2 linked regions of the Neodiprion lecontei genome follow. The protein of the gene in region 2 interacts with the protein of the main gene of each other region in a biochemical or structural test. Links are inferred from orthologs where the notes say so. Each region holds a gene or a part of one and is shown on either strand. Other genes may lie near its edges.

Region 1 (11,747 bases), on a different chromosome or scaffold from region 2:
ATGATAATGACAATTTGAAAGTAACCGATTTTGGTATGGCAACGGTGTATAGATTGAATGGCAGAGAACGCTGCTTGGACAAGAGATGCGGAACTTTGCCGTACATGGCTCCTGAAGTACTAGATCGGCCGTATCATGCAGAACCCGCGGATATCTGGTCTTGCGGAATTATCCTTGTCGCCATGTTAGCCGGAGGTAAATTTACCAGTTATGAAAAATGCACTTGATAGTTTGGAGAGGAAAAAAATTTTTTAAACCATACCCTCACCGGTTTTCTCTTATCATTCATATTTCTAATGCTTAACTTACACTCCTTAGTTTCTAAATGGTCCGTATATGAAATATAGAACTGCCATGGGATCAGCCCTTGGCAGAGTGTCCTGAATATATAGCGTGGAAGGAGGGAAAACTTACACTCACGCCTTGGAGTAAACTGGACAATACTTCACTTTCGCTAGCCAAAAAAGTTCTCAATCATTTACCGTCGACAAGGTTTACTTTGAAACAAATCAAGGAACATCATTGGATGCTTGCTAAATACCACGAAGGTGAGAAAGACTGTAATTCATTAGTTGTTCGAGTTGTAAAAGTTTATTTTTAAGTGAATTGAATACAATATTACTTGTATGACTTTACATTGACTGGATTTGAAGAAAGCAGCAGGAAAACTAATCCGGTGTTTCCTCAGTCAGGTACTGAGTGACTCTGAGTAAATAGTCTATACTCAAAGCAACTCGGTACCCAACTATGTGAACACTTTATACTTCGGCCTATAGAGCTACTCATTGTTAATTGTTGACTGTTGTGCACAAAGTAAGTAACTCACAATGTCTGGAATCAACTATTTATTTAATTTAGACTTATTAATATTTTTAAACATTATTAACTGATCGAAGACACCTGTGCAATGACTCTGACTGTTATATTTTTAGCTGGCATGAATCATCGTTTGTTTTTTCAGTGAGTTGCGATACCATGAAGGAAGATTTCAAATAGCTATTGCCTTTTCTTTGGTGATACAGCTGTATGATTTCAATTAAAGATCATAAAGCTAGATTACCAAAGCAAAGAACATCGGCTTACTCAACCAATTCTTTGGATTATCCGCCATCACGTTGATCTGCACAGTTCAGAAGAAGAAAATCGAATTTCTGTTGTCCTGTCTTTGGTTATCTAGCTGTATGACTTTTCTACTTCATAAAGCTAGAATACCGAAGTCAGGACGACAGCTAAGATCGTCTAATTGTCCTCCTTGCAAATCCAGAGCTAAACACTCTGACTAATTCGCTAAATCATCGATACAGAGATTAAATTACCATCATTTTGATTGTTAATAAATTGATAATAATTTGAGCATGACACAATTCAAAAGAATTTACATATCGATTGTGGGATTGCAGATGGGAAATTGGTGGGAAGTGACGTGGTGGATGGAAATGTACCAAAGCGACGGTGTTCAGCGAATGGCAACGATGTGTCTAGATTCTGTTTGTCGCAACCTGAGATGCCCGGTATTGAAATAAACAAGATGGACTGTATGAACTTTGAACAAAGGCCAGGATTTTCTTTTTCCCAGCCTACAGACGTAGAGGATTTATTGCTATGCACGCCATTACAAACCACTCAACATACGCAGAGCGCAAGTCAGGTGAGAAAGTCGACAAAATGTTTCATTTTTAAAGTTATAGAAAAACTATAATTTCAGAAAACTATCCTTGAATTAATTGAAATTTTTTATTATCTGACAGAACACCTTTCAAAAATTAGCACGCCGTATGACTAGATTTTTCGTAAAAATGGACGGTGACAACTTTGCAAAGAAGCTGTTATCTGTTTTGGAAAATGAGGGATACACGTGTCGAGTCAGCGAAGTTGGTGTTGTAAGTTATTGCACTACTCTAAATAAACCTTTTGGTAACTTGAGTCAAGTTTGAGATAAAAGTTAAAAGTTACACTGATCATAGATTACCTACAAATTCTAACAAATCGCATCACAAGAAATTTTTTTCATCAAAATAATTGAAATTCTGCTAATATCTTCTTTCAGATCACAGTTGCAACTGTTGATAGACGGAAAATGCCTCTTGTTTTCAAAGCAAATATCGTTGATATGGATGGGAAAATACTCGTAGACTTTAGATTGTCCAAAGGATGCGGTATCGAGTTCAAACGAAGATTTGTTAAGATCAAAACTGATCTTGGAGACTTTGTTTCCAAAAGTACGGTTTCGTGGCCCATTGCTATTGCGAATCACGACATTGTGTCACAATCATGCTAGATTGACAAAGTAATTTTATATTAACAATATTCAATAATATACATTCTATTTTTCTACTGAATTTAAAATTTGATCTTTAATATTATACTCTTGATTATTTGGAGCTAGAATTCAACTTGCGTTTGTAACATTGAAAATCTACACAACACCTGTATGGAATAGCAATGGATTAACGTTGATTTCTGACGAGGTTTATTGAATAAAAGACGAGACAATCGTTCCTCTTACTGTCTTTATACACTTAACAATAGATATGAAAAATTTGTATTGAACATTTTGATGAATATACTGATGAACAATGATGACTGACGCTGATTGCAAATTTACCTTTCACTTGTTACTTCGATATATTATTATGAATTCAATACTTTGCTCCTTGACACTGAATTTCTGAATAAACGCAAATTACATCACATGTCTATTATATCACAAAATGTATACTTCTCATTAATTTTTAAAATATATTTACCTGAAATAGGAAAATTCGTATTATTTCAACAATTGTTTACCTCCGAAAGGTCCAAAGGAGATTTCAGTACGAAATATTACGCTATATTTGATTACTCTATTAAATCCGTTTAAAGACGAGTGGAACTTAAAATTGTCGACAGATCAATTATTTATCTCTTATTACTTTATTTACATATTTCACTTCACCGACGACGATACAATCATGGTTTATATTTGAATAGGAAATTTTTGTTGAAAACTTGGACGATACCACGCAAATATATTAAACCTCATCAGGTAAATAGTTCACGAATTTAGTCTGTATTCTTAAGATAGCTATTCCAGATTGGTGACAGCAGAATTCATTTGGACAATTAGTTTCAGTACTTTAAAGGTATCCAGATTTATAAAGTTCGCAATTCTACATTAAGAATTTTAAAATCGGATTTATTATTGCGAATTACTTAGTCGTGTGCATGTTCTAGAAAAATTTAATTCCAAATTAGTTGCTTTATCCTTTTGAGAAGGTCTTTCGGATACAGGAGAATTGATCGTTCATAACCGCTGATCTGAGATAGCTGGATTCCGTTAAGTCTATAATTATACCAAAAGAGTAGGCATCGGTTTTTTCCCGGGCCAAGCTTCCTTTGCGTACTTTTTTTTCTTAGGCTCTAATGAATGTGGCTCCGAAGATCCTGATATATCTGGAATGTGGGGCACCTCTGTTTGCATTTGGTGCGGCGCCATTTCTACCTCGGGAGCCGGGTTTGGTAAAGCTATACCAAGGCGAGAAGTCAGTGATGTCAGTGCTGTAGAAAACGGGTTACTAGACATCGACGAATGTGCGTTAGAGAACTGTTCTGGAGGTAAATCATGGTAGAGTTGTGGCATAACAGAACTTGGCTGAAGATGTTTCATCATATTGTGATGATTTTCCTCCGATAACGATATAAGGCCACCCTCCATGCGCATTCGCTAAAAGAAGAAAATATTAACAAATACTAATTAATCTCGACGACAATGAACTGAAAAGGCTGTTTGATTGGTCAATCGACAAAAAGAATAATTGAAAGGGTGAACGATTCCATTAATCGAAGTCTGATTAAATGCGCAGCCCTAATTACTACTATCAAATATTTTATTCTATTAGTTCCATTTATAGTAGGTAAGCATTACAAAATCGAGAACACAACTCGCCAAGAAAAAGTCTGAATTTTTTTAGGAACTTTTTTGTTGAAGCGCAAGGTATTCAGTGCAAGCACTACATTCCTAGTTAGAAAGAGATGGATATTAGCCGCAACTACCTCCATCTCCCTCGCACTTGCACAACGCAATTTCAGCACCATATGCACAGTCCATACTCTGTGTTTACGCTTATATTAACGTGAAGAGAGATTTGGAAGTCTCTCTTCTCCTTTTATCTTTGATTGATCGTTGGGAACTTAGGAAGTGATACCAAGGAGATTGACTTACTTTACTGGGAACAACAGTCGTTTGTACAAGATTCCGAAATCTACCAACAGATGGATCGACATCTTCAGGATTAATAACTTCCTCGTCGTCGTTGAATGTGATGCCCTTCTTTTTTCTCTTTCTCGTCGCTTTATGAACGTCATCATCCGTTATTCCCAACATCGAGATGCGTCTGTTATGGGCTGTATTAAATTCCGTCAAATTCTGTAGGAGTAAATTTTGAATTAGAAGCATGCTTAGTTATGACATTCAAAAGTTCAACTGCATTTCACGAACCATATCTTTATATACCGTATCGGTCAAGATTCTGAAATAATTCTATAAATACGTAGAACGATAATTGATTATGATATAACCAAAGTTCAAAATGCGTTAGTTATACAGCAAAAAAATTTTTCAATAACCTTAAAAAAACGTAGAAGTAATACAAACTTCATGTTCACTATTCACTAAAGATTATTATTTGGCATATCTTACATCAAGCTCAGTTTCAGTCTCCGGAAGCCCAAGTAAGCCACCGGCGTCATTATCTTCGGAAGATTTTTCTAGTTCTTCAATTATCGGTCTTGCCCCAGATTGCGGTCTCTCTCGAATAATGTAGTATCTTGTGGATGCGCCAAAATGAAAAGTACTGTCGATTGGTAACTGAGTCGGTTTGTTGGGATCTAGCCGCATATTTCCAATGTAAGTCCCATGTGCTGCAATTGAAAATTGTTAAGGCAAATTAATGAAGTAAAAGCTGAAGGTGGTTGGTTGACCAAAAATATATACTTTTCATTCATTTTATTACGAGATAGTCAGTCGTAATTTCTTTAGATATGCAAACAGAAAATGCTACAATTATAAACGAAAGCTTGGATATCGATGCTTTGTTTCAAATTGCTGCAAATTAATTAAAAGTGTAGTAGGTTCGTTTTCACTCTAGAATGGCTCATTTCACTAGGACATTTTTCTGGGATTTCCACAAACTCATAGAAATACTTTTTTTTAAATCATGTTGGCATCGCTAAACATTTAGCTTTACAAAATTGCGCAGATATTAATTGTGATCAAAAAATTACAATATTGAATTGACTACTAAAAAACAATAATCTTCTGAAAGGCCATCATAGAGCGAATTTGAACCTGTTAGATTTTTAACTGTTTCGAAGTTATTTTAAATGAAGCATTGATATTGAAGATTTTATCTGAAATTCCAGGATTTTCAATTTTCGCTTTTTTAAAGAAACCTTTGTAGTTTACGAATATAATAGGTTAATACATTCACCATGCACGACTATCTCATGATAAAATTTAAAACAACTATTGATTTGGACAATGGAACTCCTGAAATTATCAATACATGACATAATTAACACCATATGTGATACTCACTGCTACCAAGATCTACTAGAAACGCTCTGTTCAAATGCTTGTGGTAAACTAATGCTGCATGAACTCGGGAACACGAGGCGTGATCAATGCAGAAGTCGTTCATTTGCTGGTTGCGGCCGAATAAATAGCACTTCTTTTCATCCACCATCAATTTCTGGGAAGAGTTTAATTCATTTATAGAGTGATATACTTCTCAGTGGCTCTAAGAGTCTCAAATGGCGTTATTCGTCAGTGATATAGTGAATATGGTGGCTAAAACCACAAGAGTAGAGAAATCCTGCTGCGAAAAGAACTAATATTTGTATAATAATCAAAGAAAGCTTTTATAAACAAAAAAGTTCTTGAGTTTACCGGTTTCTTTAAAAACGTGAGAATCGACACTTCTTGAGAAGTAAATTACTGAAACACTAAATGCTTCTAGTAGGCGAATAAGGATATTACCTGGATTAATTTATCATCCTTTAATACATCCAAATGCAAACCAACCGGAGGTTTGCCAGCCCTGAAAACATAACCTGTTTACAATGTTTGTCATTCTGGTGTTTTGGGTCGGAAGATGCTTGTTATGAAAAATATTTTAGCTCAAATCATTTGTAATTCGGATACTATTGTATGAATTCCTATAATGTAATAATTTCTCGTAATAACATACCAGCTAGGTACTTCGTAATGATTCGCCATTATCTGTCATTTAGGTTGCGTACTTTTAATAAAACATCTATAACCTCAGTCTTCCTACGAATTTAGTAACCATTCTTAATTTCAAAGGAGATAAAGCGAATTTCTGACAAAAATATTTCGGGAAACAAACAAGGGCTGAGTCGATTACAGATTTTTAAGTCGACATTAAAAATAGCTCGGCAAGAACACGAATTAATAGAAAACAACTAATCAGTAGCTAGCTTCAAAGGGCGAAATACTCGGTAGGTAAGGGTAGAGTCCTTACAAGCTGCAGCGACCACTGAACTCTAGTACTATATAGAGTTGGCCTGCGACCTTCGAATGTGTTAAAAAATTTTATGCCAAAAAATTTCTCCCCAATTGCTTTTAATTGCTCTCTATTCTTTATTATTTGCTCCCATGCGGTTTTCGAGAAAATCCTAAAAAACGTTGCAGGTACCGTGAGTGGGTAACATTTCCAGTAAAGTGGCGCCATATTCAAACAAATATTGGTGCCCAGACGTTCTTTATGCCACCGAAACAGGATAAACCTTATACTGTACATGCTCTAAGGGATGAGCTTTGAGCTGCTCCTTAATTACTCCTATATATTATCTTAATTACTCATTGTTACTGTATTATTTTGATAAATTGCTTCTGCATTGTTTGCGAATGAATCAGAAACAAATGAAAAGAGGGTTTTCTCAAGGCGAAGTATGGCCGAATTCACTTTGATATATCTCTTAGACGAATTGAGGTGCGAATAATCTAATAATTTCCCCGCAAACCTCGCAATTTGCTCCTTCATAGTTTTCGTTAAAACTGGAAAAACAATGATGCATCTGACTTGTAGGTTATGTGGACGAGCGGTGAATTCGAAATTGTAGCGAAACAAAAAGATGCCGATGCGCTCCAGTAGGACTGGATAAAATTAGTAAAAATTACCAAATATATTACTCAAAAAAGTATCTTTAACTACCGATTCTATAGTATAAAATGCAGAAAATTCTGCTTCAATGCAAAAATAATTCAATCGGTAAGAGTAGTCAGTCAATGATGAAATCTGTCCACACCAAAATAGAATTATACACGGTATATGTATCGTATCAAGTTATTTAATATTCTATAAATACAATTCACACGGAATAAATATTGTATCGCATTATGTAATATTCTAATGAAACAAGTGTGATGATAATAAAAGTTAATGTGCTGTTTAGGTGATTATGTACACATTAATTTTTCTATGCTGCATATTTCTCGGAGGGTTCACCGGAGATTGAGGCGGGCGTTTATGGAAAATAACAGTTTTCAGTCAACGACTTTAGTCAACGAGCCAGAATTATCTATATAAATAGAGATAACAACAAATAGAGTGGGTAAGTGAATGATACAGCCAGTTAGTGATAAAAACAAAGACAAAAAATCAAGGTAGTACCCCTACCTACCTTTTTAGAAAATTGAATAAAGTTACAAATGAAAAATTGCAACATTAACGTAAGCAGTTTTGAATAGTCTATCATTCTGATTCTCTTCTGCGCATGTGTAAATGTATATGCAACAAGGATAGATAGAGGTATACTTCAATTTGCTTTCCCTTTTTATTCGCACAACCTTTGTACTATGCTAACCCCTGCATCTTGCCCACTCCATTTGTTATTATCTCTATGGTTATTCAACTTGATTGAGCCACAGTTATCATTGGACAAACAGCATGTATTTTAAAACAGAGTACACAACTACATTCGTAATGAAGATCTGTAAATCGTGTCAAATAAGCCAATCAGAACTGACAATTGAATCGCAATCGTATGTTTATCATGTTTAATCCCTGTTCATCCTTATCCATACGGCATGTTTGTCGTGCTGAAACAACAGTAACGGCAGAGGTGATGTGAATTCCTTGAATGTCACACACGATTCGAGCAATTCCTTTTTGAAATACGATCGCATCGAGACATTTTCATAATGAGAATTTTGAATTTGTTTATTACAACACTAATAGTAGCTACGGGTTGCTTACCGGCGAATTCGATTCAAACATTTACTAAAACCACTCCACTCGTTGTAACAACATGGGATTACTGGAACGCCACAGACAAAGGTACAACCAACGATGAAGAAATTTCTTACTTGAATTTTACGTTACATTAAGACTTACTTATACTTGAATTTTGTGCTTTTTTATTCATTATTCGCTTCTAATTGTTTCAGAATAAAACTTTTCTCCAAATAGTGTAACAGCACTGTGAAATTCGACTTGAAATTTTACGTTTTATGTTTATCTTGACAAATGTAAATATGTTTGTGTTGTTGGTGAATATTAATAATTGGCATTCTAATCATTTATCTTCACATTATTGTAATTAATCGGTTTTAAGTTAGTTTCTACCCTTTTTTTGAAAAATCCCATATGACTCAAAAGTTTAATAAACATCTCTAACAAAGATTTGCTTTGTTGATTTTTGGGCTGCAACGATTATACTGCAATGATAAAATACTTTCAAGTTATATTTATCCTATAATGCAGTATCAATATAATGCAATGCATCTTAACAAACAATAAACAGGACTTTCCCAGTGTCTTATCTTAAACTCTTATTAGGGGAAATATATCCATGAAATAACCATAATCTTACTTTATTTTCAGCATGGAATATTCTGTACACAAAAAAACGTAGCTCGCTAGATGCTATAGAAATAGCATGCAGTTTGTGCGAGCAGCTTCAATGCCGGACGACAGTTGGATTTGGCGGGAGTCCCGACGAGATGGGCGAGACAACGTTGGACGCAATGATAATGGATGGGTGATTATGACATTTTGGTATAAATATTGATCATTAGCATATTATTCACTGATTTTAGAATGAATGAAAGTCTGAATCAAAAATTCGAAAAAGAGAGAAAATATTAAAAAAAATAACAATAGTTATATATAACTATTGTTATTTATAGTTATAGAATAACACTAGTTAATCCTCCACAGTAATCCCGGGTCTTTTGAGGTATAACCCAAATTTTATCATTAAATATCTCCAAAATGCAAGAAGGGCTGATGGCCCCACTCTCTAAAAAAAGTTATTGGTAGTAGGGAATCGAAAGCCAAGAGATGACCAAGTCCGGCAGTTTTTTGTTAACTAGTAGAGAGTGCAAATTGATTGTGTGCCCTGAAAGACTCAGGAGTTCCACGGTGTTAGTGTTTTGCAATAGTAAGTAAATTTTATTTGTTCAATTTTTTCGACTATTTTCAAGTGTTTATCAATCAAGGTTTCTTGAGTTACTTACATAAATACGGTGTCATTTATGAAAATATTCTTCGAAATATAAGGTATAGCATATGGAGAGGAAACTGAAGAGCATATTTCCGATAGTCAGGATGCTAATGAAAATTACCTCATATTCGAATGATTATGTAAATAGTTATTATACTTTAATAAACTACTTTAATATTAATTGCATAAAACCACACTCCCTCTTTTATATCCACATGGTAGCAGAGTGTGGTTTGTGGTTTAAATTTAAAGTAAAAGAATATACACGCAACCAAGAAGATAAAGTGTTAATTTAACTAAAAATGGAAAGAACTGTGAAATAAGTGATGAAGCGCGAGTATAGATCAAATTCATTTTGAAGTAAAACACATGTTTTCGTGGATAAAACAGATAGTGAATCGAGAACACGAATTAAAAGTCAAAGATATTAAGTTAGAAAATCAAACAAGAAATCAAATTCGTCAAGTGTATTTGGAAAAAGCTAAGAAAGTTGTTATTCTGAAAATTTAATATACGAAAATATAAGTATAAGTGAATCGAAAATGGCTAAGCAAGTTAAGATGGAAGATATTATGATACCCATTTTTGACGGGGCAAATTATTCAAGTTGGAAAATCAGAATAATGTTATTACTGGAATACAAAAGGTGTAAAGATTCAGCAGTTAGTAATATCACCAATAAGTTTAAAAATAAAGAAGAAGATTGGATAGAAATGGATTTAAAAGCAAGAACGCTAATAGTCAGCTCAATCTCTGATAAACAATTAGAATACGTTGGTGAATGCAAAACAGCATTAGAAATGATGACAAGATTTGATAAAATGTATACGACACAATCAACAGCACTGCAAATAATGTGCAGAGGAAAAATCGATGATATTAGATTGACAAATTACCAGTCAATAGAAGAATTTTTTGTAGAGTTTGAAAAATTAACAAATGAATTTAAAGCAGCTGGAGGAAAGATAGACGAATCAGAAAAAATGAGATATTTGATCAAAGCTTTGCCACCAAGCTACAGTTATATTGGCGACTTTCTTGATGTAATACCAGAAGAGCAAAGAACCGTTGATTACTTGAAGTCCAAAATAAAGGAGAAGAATTTGAATTCGAACGACACAAACAATAAAAGCAATGTCAGCAAATTCGGTGCAAAAACAAAAGATAAGTGCTACAACTGTGGTATACGAGGTTATCACAAGAAAGACTGTAAAAAGGGACAACACAACAACAGAGGCAGAGGTTCTCAAGTCAATCAAGGACAGCGAAGTCAACAGCGAGGCTATTACAGAGGTGGAAATCACCGAGGTCGAGGCAGAGGACAAAGTCAATCCAGAGAAGACTATTCCAGCAATCAACAGGGCAACTACTCATAGAAGGTATTGGCCAGAAATTATGAAAACAGTAGCATATTTAAAAAATCGTACAATTGCAAATACGGAGGAGAATAAAACTCCCTATGAAATATTTAAAAAAAAAAAACCAAATGTAAAAAATTTGAAAATTTATGGAAGTCGAGTTTTTGTTAGAATTCCGGAAGCGTTAAGAAAAAGTAAATGGGACGACAAAGCACAATTAGGCGTACTAGTAGGATATATTGAAAAAGGATATAGAGTTCTAGTAAATAATAGAGTAATCAATGCTAGACATATACAAATTGTTGAAGAAAATACTAAAATAATATGTTTGGAAAAACTTGATGAAGAAAGCGATAACGATTCGGAAAATAGAGAATCTAAAACCTCAGATCAGGAAGCGTTTGGAATCAATGAAAATGATTCAAATGAAAACAATCCCTTACTTTCTACTCATCCTCTCGAGGAAAGTAGAAGTAATAGAACTAGAATTAATTCAAATCAAAATGATATTGAAAGTGAAAGTGATGAAAATGCAACAGTAAAAAGAACATCACACAGAAATAAAAGTCCTATAAACAGATACGGAAATCCTGTATCACATTTTATTTATGTTCATTATGTTGATGCAAATGTACCAAATACTTTCGAGGAGGCGTTAAACTCCAGTGATAGTAAAAAATGGAAAATAGCAATGGATTCTGAAATAGATAGTTTAAAGAAAAATAATACATGGAAAATTGTTGAAAGACCAAAAGATAAAAAAGTAATTGATGTCAAATGGGTCTATAAAAGGAAAGATAATAATGTTTATAAAGCAAGATTAGTTGCAAGAGGATTCCAACAAAGGGAATACACTGAAAATGTTTATTCACCAGTGGGTCG
Region 2 (10,691 bases):
TTATCGTGTCACATCCGCATTATGCTCGGTTAATCTACGGTGCACACGAATCGTCCAAGTTAGAGCAATAGTATGTATTAATTTATTTTACCCGTTTGCTGTCTTACATAATTTCCCTCATTGGCTCTCATAACATAAAACACATCAGTTTGACATAAACAATGTCTGAATTCAAATTATACCAAAAATTAATTTAAAAACAAAAACTAGATTGCCAAATGATCCTCAATCTATATTCTTTGCAAACAATCGAGTTCCTTCAATTTTAATTGCATATTTTCATCATTACATTGACTATTACTTACATAACTTTGACAATTAACTGGTGTTGTATATATGTACGTATAACTTATCTTCATCTGAACATCCTACCAGCGTTTGATTTATTATCTTTGAATGGTTCTATCGAAATTTTATCAAAAGTGAAACCGAGGTACAAATTCAATACAGTTATTGGTGTTCTCTAAAGTTTTGCTTTGATGTGGATATCAAAGATTTTGTCACAAATTTTGTCGTGATAACGTAACATGGATTGCTTGTTTGGTTTATCTCAGTTCAAATAAAAAAATTCCCATACACATAACATTGTCTACTTTATACATGTAAAACAATTTCATGACATTGCCACGAGCTCATTAACAAATGTGGAGACTGTGCAGCTAATACACAAATTTGATTACACTAGTAATTTCTATAAAATTCGTGTTCAAATGTTCTTGTCAAGAACGAAATTTACCTCTGCAATGACTACCAACATATCAATATTTACATTTTAACTAAAGGAGTGTACAGAAGAAGGGAAGAAGTCGAAAAAAAAAGTTTTGAGATAAGAGCAAAAAAAAAAAATGGAATTCTGAAACTTTCGAAATCCATGCAACCTTACAATATCATATTTGTAGTTGTGTTCAAGCTGAATAATATATATTACAACAAATGTTCGATTATCTGAGTTGCAAAAAAAAGATGCGATGTAAAATTTCAACTGGGTAACAGTTGCTCATTGAGCTGAATTCCGTATGTAGAATAAATTAACTTCCAACTCATAGATGTAAATTAAATTTATTTCACTCATCATAAGAATATGAAATATGTTCTATTTAAACCTTAGGATTTTTTAATTTTATGGTGTTTTCAAATACTAGAAATAAATTTCACTCGATTTGTCAGGAGAGAAGTTTTTTTTAACTAATCTGGGAAATGGTGTTAGTCGATTTAGTCCCCTTCTCTTTACAGTCCCTTATCGATAACAGAAAATCAATCCAATTTTCTTCTACAAGCACGAAATTTTGATTTGCATCAATTAGTTTGGCTGATAAAAGTAGCTCATTCTGTCACTAATCTCATTTATGAATAGTTGGCTGGACTAAAATCAGGGCGCTTTTTTCATTACCGCTTGATTTGCGTCATGCCTCATTGGTCGTCATGGTCAATGCATTGGCTTGTTAATCATGTGTTTGGTAGGAGAAAAATACAAATAAAATTAAACAGTAAGCAAGAGATATTACACTATTGGTAGCGACTAAGGTTTTTTTCTTCCGTGCGATATATTGAAAAGTATGGTTCAATTTGGGGGGATTTGAAACTGATTTGTACCGTTTCAAAAGAAAACACATCGCTACAATAGTGTTGTTAAACCTGATTTCCAGGGTAAAACTTGCGGTTAAGGAAAAAGAGGATGAGAGAATGATTGAAACTAGTCCTAATCTTAGAAAAAGGGTTTCTGAACATAGGCCCAAGTGTTTCTTTGCTTATGTAAAAGGTGAAGAATGCATGCTTTGATTGAGTACCTGCGATAATTATGCTAAAAAACTAGTTAAATCACACAGGTATTTAGCTACACTTTGCCTTACACAAATTTGTACAATTATTTGCATTCCTGTATTAAGATGTATTAAATAAAAATAATTCGTGAAAATACCACAAAAAATATTTATTCGATTTCTTCTTTTTTCTCTCTTTCTCACCTTTAAACCCTGTCTGGTTTTTAATTTTAGAGTATTGATGGATGTTCTATTTTATCTCGCAGTCAACATGGTTATCAGGCATTGTGTACACGCTTGCTTGTTAGACAACCCTTTGGTTCACGTAAAACAACAGCTGTGATCAACAATTAATATAGTGCCTGAGCCAGTTACCCACAGTCCTCCTGCAATCATTGAAGAGTTGACTCAATTTAATACACTTGTCACCTCGTACCAGGTTCGATATACCCTGGCGGCTAAAAGAAAGTAAGACTTAAATGCAGAAAAAAAAGCAGTTTATTATTCCACACTTTACGATACTGTACTTCGATGAAGATAATGTCATAACAAAATCTTACCTTGTTTGAACCCCGTTCGTTCTACTTGGAGTATTTTCATAACGTTTTGCAATTAGTACATTATTTACATCGCTTCAAATCTTATTGTTTGTAAGTACATCTTGCTATAACTTCAAGTTCACCATTTGCTAATGCTGGGCATGAAAGATTCTGCCGCCAAGATGGTTGTAGCCTTTTCTTACGATCTAAAAATACTTGAGATTCGTTTATTTCCACTTCTAGTGTATTTGTGGCGGTTTGAAATTAATGCATATGTAATAATAAATACATTTTACACGTGTTCGGCTAGTATTTAGTAAAATCACTGGATCAATTTCAAAATGAGTAGACGATTAGAAGCTGAGTTTTTAGCACAGTATGTTTTTCAACTCGCATATTTATCTTATTCTGAATTCTTCCAGCTCTGACTGAAAGGTTTATGTGCTTTGAGAAAAAGTTTACGCAATCTGGTTATAAACAGTTTACTCTTACTGCTACTTTGGAACGCTTCTCTTCTCTTCACTTTACAAGTAGTTCTTTGAGGAGTCCTTTGGTATATTCGCAGCTGACGATCATGGCACATTCACAAAAACTAGCATTAGGCATAGATCTCGGTACAACTTCGGTTAAAGTAGTCGTCGTGTCAACTGAGACTAAACAGATTGTTAGCAAGCAGTCCAAGGATACGCAGGCTAATGTGCCTAGTGATCTGGGTGTGGAAGGAAACAAGCAGGATGTACCAAAAATCCTATCCGCAGTCCACAGCTGTGTATCACGCATTCCAAAAGATTTGCTTCGCCAGGTATTGCTGAACCAATGTTTAGGAATAGATAAGAACAGTTATGTTGATGCTAATACATAGTAAACAACAGAAGAAATATTAACTTAAAACCTATTGCATAGGTGGTTAATATCGGAATTTGTGGACAAATGCACGGTGTGACTTTTTGGAAATATTCGTCGGAGGAAGATGATAAGGAACACGATGGGGTATTTAAGTTGGAAATTTCTCGAGAAAAAGTATCGCCACTTTACACTTGGCAAGATTCACGCTGCGATCCAAAATTTCTGGCATCTTTGCCAGCATCAAAAAGTCACCTAACTACCCACTCTGGTTATGGTTGTGCTACTATATTCTGGTTTGCTAAATACAAGTTAGTATGTATTCATTGTCTACATAAATCTTTAAGTATATGTATCAACAAGAATGTCGTTTAAATTTATTTAACAGCGAGTTTATTTGACCGCAGTAAGAAAAAAAAAAAATTTCTCCCGTCTTGTAGACATGAAAAGCTGAGCAAATACAATAGATGTGGTACGGTTCAAGATTTGCTGGTGGCTCTGCTTTGCGGTCATAGCGAAGTAACGATCAGTACACAAAATGCAGCGAGCTGGGGATATTTCTTAACAACAGAGTCACGTTGGGAAATAGACGTCTTGTCGCAACATGAATTTCCTACACACATTTTACCAAGTAAAATTTTGCAGCCCGGACAAGCGGCTGGCTGTCTGGAGCAAACGTGGTTCGGAATTCCTGCTGGTACACCAGTAGGTACAGTATCGTCACTGACTTATTGTTCGTTAATAAGGACTTTACTCGCTTGAAATTTGAAGTAATTTATCGAATCTTTTCGTAGGTGTTGCTTTAGGTGACCTGCAGTGCTCTGTTTACGCCTTATTAAAAGATCCGACAGATGCGGTATTGAACATTTCCACTTCAGCGCAACTTGCCTATGTTGATCCGTTTTTCAGTCCGAAACAGTCAGGTGAAACAGGTAATTACTGCGAATGCAAAAGGCTAGGAAAGTATATCTAATCCTCGATGGATCAAACATTTGGATAGGTCGATATCTTTCTTAAGTTTGGGATTTCAACAAGTCAATACAACTGTATAAATTTGTAGCAAAAATTCAACATTTTCCATATTTCGAGGGGAGGTACTTGGCAGTAGCTGCATCTTTGAATGGAGGCAATTCTTTAGCTACGTTTGTCAGAGCTTTACAACAATGGAGCATGGATTTAGGCTTCTCAATACCTCAATGTAGGTATATTTAATAAAGTAAGGAATGTGGAGTATGCATCAAAAATATATTAATTTACGTTCAATTTGTCATTCAGCTAAGGTTTGGGAAAAGTTAATAGCTTTAGGGCAAGAGGATACGGCTATTTCTGATTTGGAAATTGTGCCTACTTTGCTCGGTGAACGCCATGCTCCCGAACATACGGCTAGCGTGTCTCAAATAACACTAGACACCTTACAACTTGGCCAGATATTCCGTGCTCTTTGTTCTGGGGTAATAAAAAATCTTCATAAGTGAGTAACTACTTGAACAAACTCATTAAAAAGTTATCTTCAATCAGTATTGAATGTTCGTCGATGAACTTGATTGAAATTTTCTTGTGTCTGGGCTTTAGTTTGATTTTTGAAGGTTCATTTTTTCTCATTTCTCTAGTATGATGCCGCAGGAAGTATTGCAAAAGGCTGGAATACAGCAAATTGTTGGTAATGGATCAGGTTTGGTTCGGAATTTAGTCTTGCAGAAGGAAGTGCTGCGATGGTATCAGTTACCATTGGAAATAGGACAATCGGGAGATGCAGCTCTTGGATCAGCTCTTGCAGTAATTAATCATAACTAGAAAATTAGTGGAGCCATAGACTGTAAGCTCTGGCAAAGTGTCAGTAAATGTAGTATGACCTTTTGCGTCACAAATAAAAATACTAACAATCGTAGTCTTCGAATATTTTATATGTATGTATAATAAATTTCAGATCATTATTGCCGATAAAAAAATTGTAATGCTACTGTTTACTGAATTTAGAGTTTCATTTCCATTTGCATGCAATACCTTTAAAATACTAGTAGGAAATATGATTGTGACGGTAGTAGCGTGCATGTCATACAATATTGATGCAAAAATCATGGTTTCACAGTTGTAGAATGACCTTGCAAGAGTTGAGTCTCCGAAATATGCGGCATAGGCTTTATTCATATTCGCTGCATGCAACGCATTTAAAATAGTAGATAGTAGACTAAGAATAGAAAGATAGTAGCACTGGTGTCATAAAATGTTGATACAAAAATCATGGTTTCACAGTTTTCGAATGATTTTGCAGCTGGAGCTAAGTCTCGAAAATATGATTATGTTTTATTTTCAAACAACACTGAACTTGTAAAATTACAGTTTTCTTTATAAATGTATCGTTTTGCAACAATACGAATTTCAATCCCATGTAAACATGCATCTAGTCAGCGTCATCTGTCATTGTTAAATAAAACATCGTGTCACCATTTCACTATACAGATATAAGAAAAGATTAGCTGTGGATCTGTGTTAACTTTGCATGAAGCGAATAAGGTATAATTTTACATCAGCCAATGGAAATTACAGCACGATTTTTTCCAACTTATTTTCTAAGTTAAATGCATGCCGTAAAGTAAGAAACAAAATTTAAAATAATCATTAAAGTAGGTATAATAAATCCCAACAGTTTTGAACGTTCAGAAATGTATATCAAAGGCACTTTACTTTACATGTAAACATTTTTGAGTGATACACTATAATATTGCTGTGTGTCACAAGCTTAAGTTACACAGACTATACAAAATTCAAAACGGCGGAATGAAAAATTCTAAAATTTAATATCCAAAACTGTATCGTATTAGTAAACATGACACAGCGAGTCAATTATTGTATTACCTATATACAGAACAAAAAAAAAACAAAACGGTAACACCTAATACCGTTATTTACATAGTGAAAAACATTGTAATTTCACACTGAATAACGTCTATTTTTAATACATTTATATATTTTTTCATAATTCAGGAATATCATATTCCTTAGGAGGGTTAGTGATCCCTGTTCCATCTCCATATCGTGGCATCATCGCACACGCACAAAAGTACAGAACCATCTCTGCTCAGGCTAGTTTGCCGTATTGGCGCGGTGCACCGAGGATGTTCCAATGTGCAACATCGAGCTTGGCCTGGTTCTTCAACCTCCAGATCCCACACATAGGTACGACCAGCTTGGTTACCAAGTGCTATTGTCCTTTGCCAGAAATCCATGGAGAATCGTATAAACCATATATCGCATTCCTTGAATTCAAAGCGATGCAGTACAGTGGCGCTTGTTTCGCCGTTACGAAGTTGGGTATCTTCTAAACGTCCAGGTTTCCAGCATACGATACAATTTTCGCAAGATTTACTAAGTATGAAATCTCCGTACCATTTAACGCAGTCCACATAATTGCGATGCACATCTCTTGTTGTAAAGTCGGGAAAATGTTGCAGAATCGAGTCAAAAGGTCTCCCGTTGCGGGTCGGATTGCAGTAATACGACTGCTTGATAGCATCCAGCATTTCCCCTTTATCGAGGGACCAAAGTTTCAATGCGTGATCCATTCCGCAAGATATTATCCGTTGTCCCATCATATCAAAGTCCGCGCTCAAGACTTCGTCCCTGTGACCTTCGACACCTCCAAATATTGCTATGCAAACATCAGTCTTAATATTCCATAAACGTAGAGCGTGATCCTTCGAAGCTGAAAGAAGGATATTTGGGTCCTTCGGATGAATTTTCAGCTCATTAATTGCGTGACCGTGACCAATGTAATGCTTAATGCACGTCATAGTGACAGTACTAATTACTCTAATTACTCCTCGAGAGCCTGCAACGGCTAATAATGGTTTTCCTGAATCATCGTATGTCCATACACATGTGTAGAAATTTTCTTCACTGTCAGGATCAGCGTAACATTGTCGAAGCCTGATATTGTTTCCCTCGGGGCATTCGTAAATGCTGACTCTGTTACTTCCTACTGATGCAAATATCATTGGTTCACCTTCTTTGAGATGGTGATTGAACTGAGCGCCAAACAAAGGCTGCCCGTGGTCTTCCTTGACACTACAACAGTATTTATACATTGGTTTGTCATTCAGAGACTTGTTCTTTGCCGTTTTACTTCGCCGTCTTCCCTTCTTCTTATAACGAGCACTGCGAGTCGGAGTATCGCTTCGATGTGTACCTGCAGTCGAATTGCTGCCAATACTACACTCGGTTTCGTCACTATCATTGTCAGTGTCTTCTTGACTCGAAGTATAAGTCTGGCACTGAGGTTTCGCACCAGCTTTCTTCATTATATCTTCCGTCTGTTGATAATCTGAAAGTACACATATCCAATAATTACAAACATCGGACTAATTGGTAGATACTCATTGAGGAGTTCAAAAAGTTTCAATTTGCTGTTTTAGTATTTAGTAAGAAACATAAAATGGTATTCAAATATTATTTATCCAGTCTTGGGAAGTTTTTTGTGGTGATAAATTTCATGGAATTATTTTTTGTAGCTTGTTTGAATAATTATTTCACTTTGTACATGTGACTCACTTGAACTGCACATTTATGCCACAGAATCATCGACAATGTACATTGCTGTATGTTGATCACGGATGTTTAACAATGGCAATCCGCTTCTCTGACCGAGAACTGTGCAAGATAAATTGATAATTTGATCACCTAAATAGAGACAGTCCTCCGGTACCTAAATGAAAATTTGTATTCAGTTTTTCACCTTCTTAAAATATTTCTAATTTTATTTGACAAATCGACATTGCGTAGTATTTAGACATTTTGAAATGCGTAAACTCACATTAATATTTGAATTGAGAAGCCGAAGATTGTACTTGTCGCAAACTTCCAAAATCTGATCTTGCGTCACACCCATAGCATTTGACGATATGTTGTTACCATTTACTAAACAGGTGCTACTCAACAATATAAAACTCTGATCAACTAGCAGAATATTCTTCTCAACCTGAATGAATAGGAGAATAAAAAAAAAGTATAGGTAATTACGATTATGACGAAAAACAGATGCAGGTTTTTTTCTCTATCTTAAAACCATTAATACACGACGAAAAAATAATTTTTGTCGTTAAATACCCACCTCCTTCAAAGATAGCGTTAGCCGAGAGTCGATTGCAAATACGATAAAATCGACGTGAAGATTTTTATGAGTGGCAATAACTTCGGCGACAGACTCGCACCGATGTATGAGAATTTGTTGTTTTTTCCCTGATGCACTATTCAGCAATCCTTGAGATATTTTCTCGCAATATTCGGCGGTGGAAACGATCTGCGAGATTGAAGTTGTGCGTTGTTCCGTTAGGGATGATTGTGGTGCGTCAGTATTTAAAAAAATTTTCTTAAGTGAGAAAAAGAACCAGTAACGAAAGCGTAAAGCCTTACCAAAAACGAAATGACCGCGAAATTTTTTCGTAATCCATAACGCAAGACCTGCGCCATTAGAAACCAAACATCCGACGTTTGCCACCGGCAACTGCCATGAAATAGACCGTTGTATCGTATCCGTCCTGCATATTACAAATCTAACCTATAAGTTATAATCTATCACGAGCACTTCGTCACTTTTGCGCCTTCAGAGATCGGGTTCGCTCTGTTTCTCTACCGACTGCTTTAGCTATTAGCAATAAACATAAGCCTACGTGATGCTATGGCAGTGCATAACGGTAAACACTATGTTAGGCTCACAAGTCACAGCCTTTGGCGACATCTACGAAACTCGGGTGGAGTCATGTCAGTCCTTACCTTTGGACGTGGTTGGTTAGTTCGATAACACCAATCTCCACCACACGGAATGAATTTTATGGAATCGCCAAGCGAGGCATTCAAACGAAATGCGATCAGTCTTATCTTCGGAACCCGGGGAATGAATTTCCGCGAAATCGGCGTATCTCAGTAATAAATTTCAACAATAGATCTCTCTCTGGCCTTCTGTCAACAGTTTCGTATACCTTATATGTATGTTATAAATTTGTCGAAAACAAAAAATACGACCAGTCTGAACACAAAGAAATTTTGATTGTACATACTAAAAGAGAATATTGCACTCTTCCTCTGCACCTTGAAAATATACAGAACGGTACCTATCGTGTAGACATTTCTATAATTTTGAACGAGTGTTTTTTCTTGCCCCCAAGGAATAGTGCAGATTGGTTATCCGAATTTACGATTATCCAAACGGTACCCAGTTCCAATTAATTGAGTAATCGACGTTCTACTGTATACACGACACTATACAAATAAAAATTTCATTGTTTCAAAAAGTGATATTTTACAACTTTTGTTTGATAATAGGCACTGAAAAGTATTACATGATTTTAGAAGAAGGAACTGTTCTACACGAGAATAATTTCGCAGATGAAGGTCCCTGTTGTATCGCCGGCATCTTCTCGAAGTCCTTCAACGTTTAGATATGTAAATTTTTTCTCTACGTCTTGAGGGTGTGCACTTGGCGCCCATGGTAATGAGGTGAGGGGTAGACCTGGTGAAAAAATATTAATGAAGTATATCTGGAATAATTGCCATTTCAAAGTATGTAATATCTTAGTTATTATTATGATAGCTATATTCAATATACCAATTATAATCTCAGTGGCTTTTCGTTCACCATTATTCCATAATTTTCCTTGCAGTCTTGAAAATACTTGCAGAGATGGTGGGAATAAAATAATGTTCAATAAAGATTATTATTTACCAGTTCTGTCACTCGTCCATTCGACGCCGTCGTAAGTTTTGTGAATTCCCAAGTATGGCTGAACTTTGCCGTTCGTCACAGAGTATGCGTAACGAATCTTTTTGAAAGAATCGGGACTTGCCAGGTTAGCACCCTCCAGAATACAACGTTTTCTAGCTTCGTTCCATGTCGGTGCGGCGACGTCAGTCCACTTGTAAGCCATTCCGACATCCGGGAAGGCTACATATCCTATGGGCAACGTCTTGGGTTCTGATACACTGACAGAATTTTGACCTGGAACTGAGTTAACGAAAAATTGAAGCATGTTTAAACGAGAGAGGGTAGCGCTTTGTTGATAAATTTCTTCATTGCGATTTCATACCTGAGGTGAAGTTTTCGTAAATACAATTCGTGGTACCAACTAGGTGACAGAAGAGTTGCAAGGGTAACGTAACAAGTAAATTCGACATCTTCGGAGTTCTTCCTTCAGGCTATATTCCTCTTCGTTGTCTTACGGTTGGCTATGTCCGGGTAGGAATGTGCCAAGCTATACTCTCCGTCTGCGGACGAGTGCGTATCTCGTTAGTTTATTTCGCCAGTAACTACTAACTGAACGGCCTTGATTCGTCGATTCGACTGCGTATACGGATTTCCCCCTGCCTAATGAGGCTGGTTTACCCCTCTTTCGTTGGATTCATCGTACAATCATCTTTCAAGGAAATTTTATTTCCTGGAAACTAGTATATCTAGTCGCTGGGTTCACAAAACATAAATATTTGCATGTCGTCATCTATGGATGCGATGGATGCTGCAGTGTTAACTACGTTCACGATAATGTACATAGTATAAAAC

Evidence for each region.
Region 1: the proteins of polycomb protein eed-B (region 2) and nuclear inhibitor of protein phosphatase 1 form a complex in vitro, tested with the Homo sapiens proteins (2 studies listed by BioGRID). The link is inferred for Neodiprion lecontei from reciprocal best matches to the Homo sapiens genes EED and PPP1R8.

What each region holds. Positions count from the first base shown.
Region 1 is NC_060261.1:17,293,452-17,305,198, reverse strand, and holds nuclear inhibitor of protein phosphatase 1, read right to left. Parts: upstream 6,472-11,747; 5' UTR 6,257-6,471; coding exon 6,228-6,256; intron 6,091-6,227; exon of another isoform or gene 6,078-6,090; coding exon 6,017-6,077; intron 5,730-6,016; coding exon 5,576-5,729; intron 4,900-5,575; coding exon 4,679-4,899; intron 4,406-4,678; coding exon 4,202-4,405; intron 3,704-4,201; coding exon 3,329-3,703; 3' UTR 2,340-3,328; downstream 1-2,339. Other genes in the region: serine/threonine-protein kinase grp, read left to right, coding at 1-195, 348-548, 1,401-1,648, 1,749-1,880, 2,048-2,278; N(4)-(Beta-N-acetylglucosaminyl)-L-asparaginase, read left to right, coding at 8,204-8,339, 8,886-9,042. UniProt on the Homo sapiens protein: Inhibitor subunit of the major nuclear protein phosphatase-1 (PP-1). It has RNA-binding activity but does not cleave RNA and may target PP-1 to RNA-associated substrates. May also be involved in pre-mRNA splicing.
Region 2 is NC_060263.1:6,599,392-6,610,082, reverse strand, and holds polycomb protein eed-B, read right to left. Parts: upstream 8,805-10,691; 5' UTR 8,552-8,804; intron 8,439-8,551; 5' UTR 8,250-8,438; intron 8,118-8,249; 5' UTR 7,953-8,117; intron 7,845-7,952; 5' UTR 7,704-7,844; coding exon 7,691-7,703; intron 7,464-7,690; coding exon 6,151-7,463; 3' UTR 5,790-6,150; downstream 1-5,789. Other genes in the region: sedoheptulokinase, read left to right, coding at 2,739-3,101, 3,203-3,453, 3,583-3,851, 3,937-4,074, 4,203-4,340, 4,418-4,613, 4,753-4,936. UniProt on the Homo sapiens protein: Polycomb group (PcG) protein. Component of the PRC2/EED-EZH2 complex, which methylates 'Lys-9' and 'Lys-27' of histone H3, leading to transcriptional repression of the affected target gene.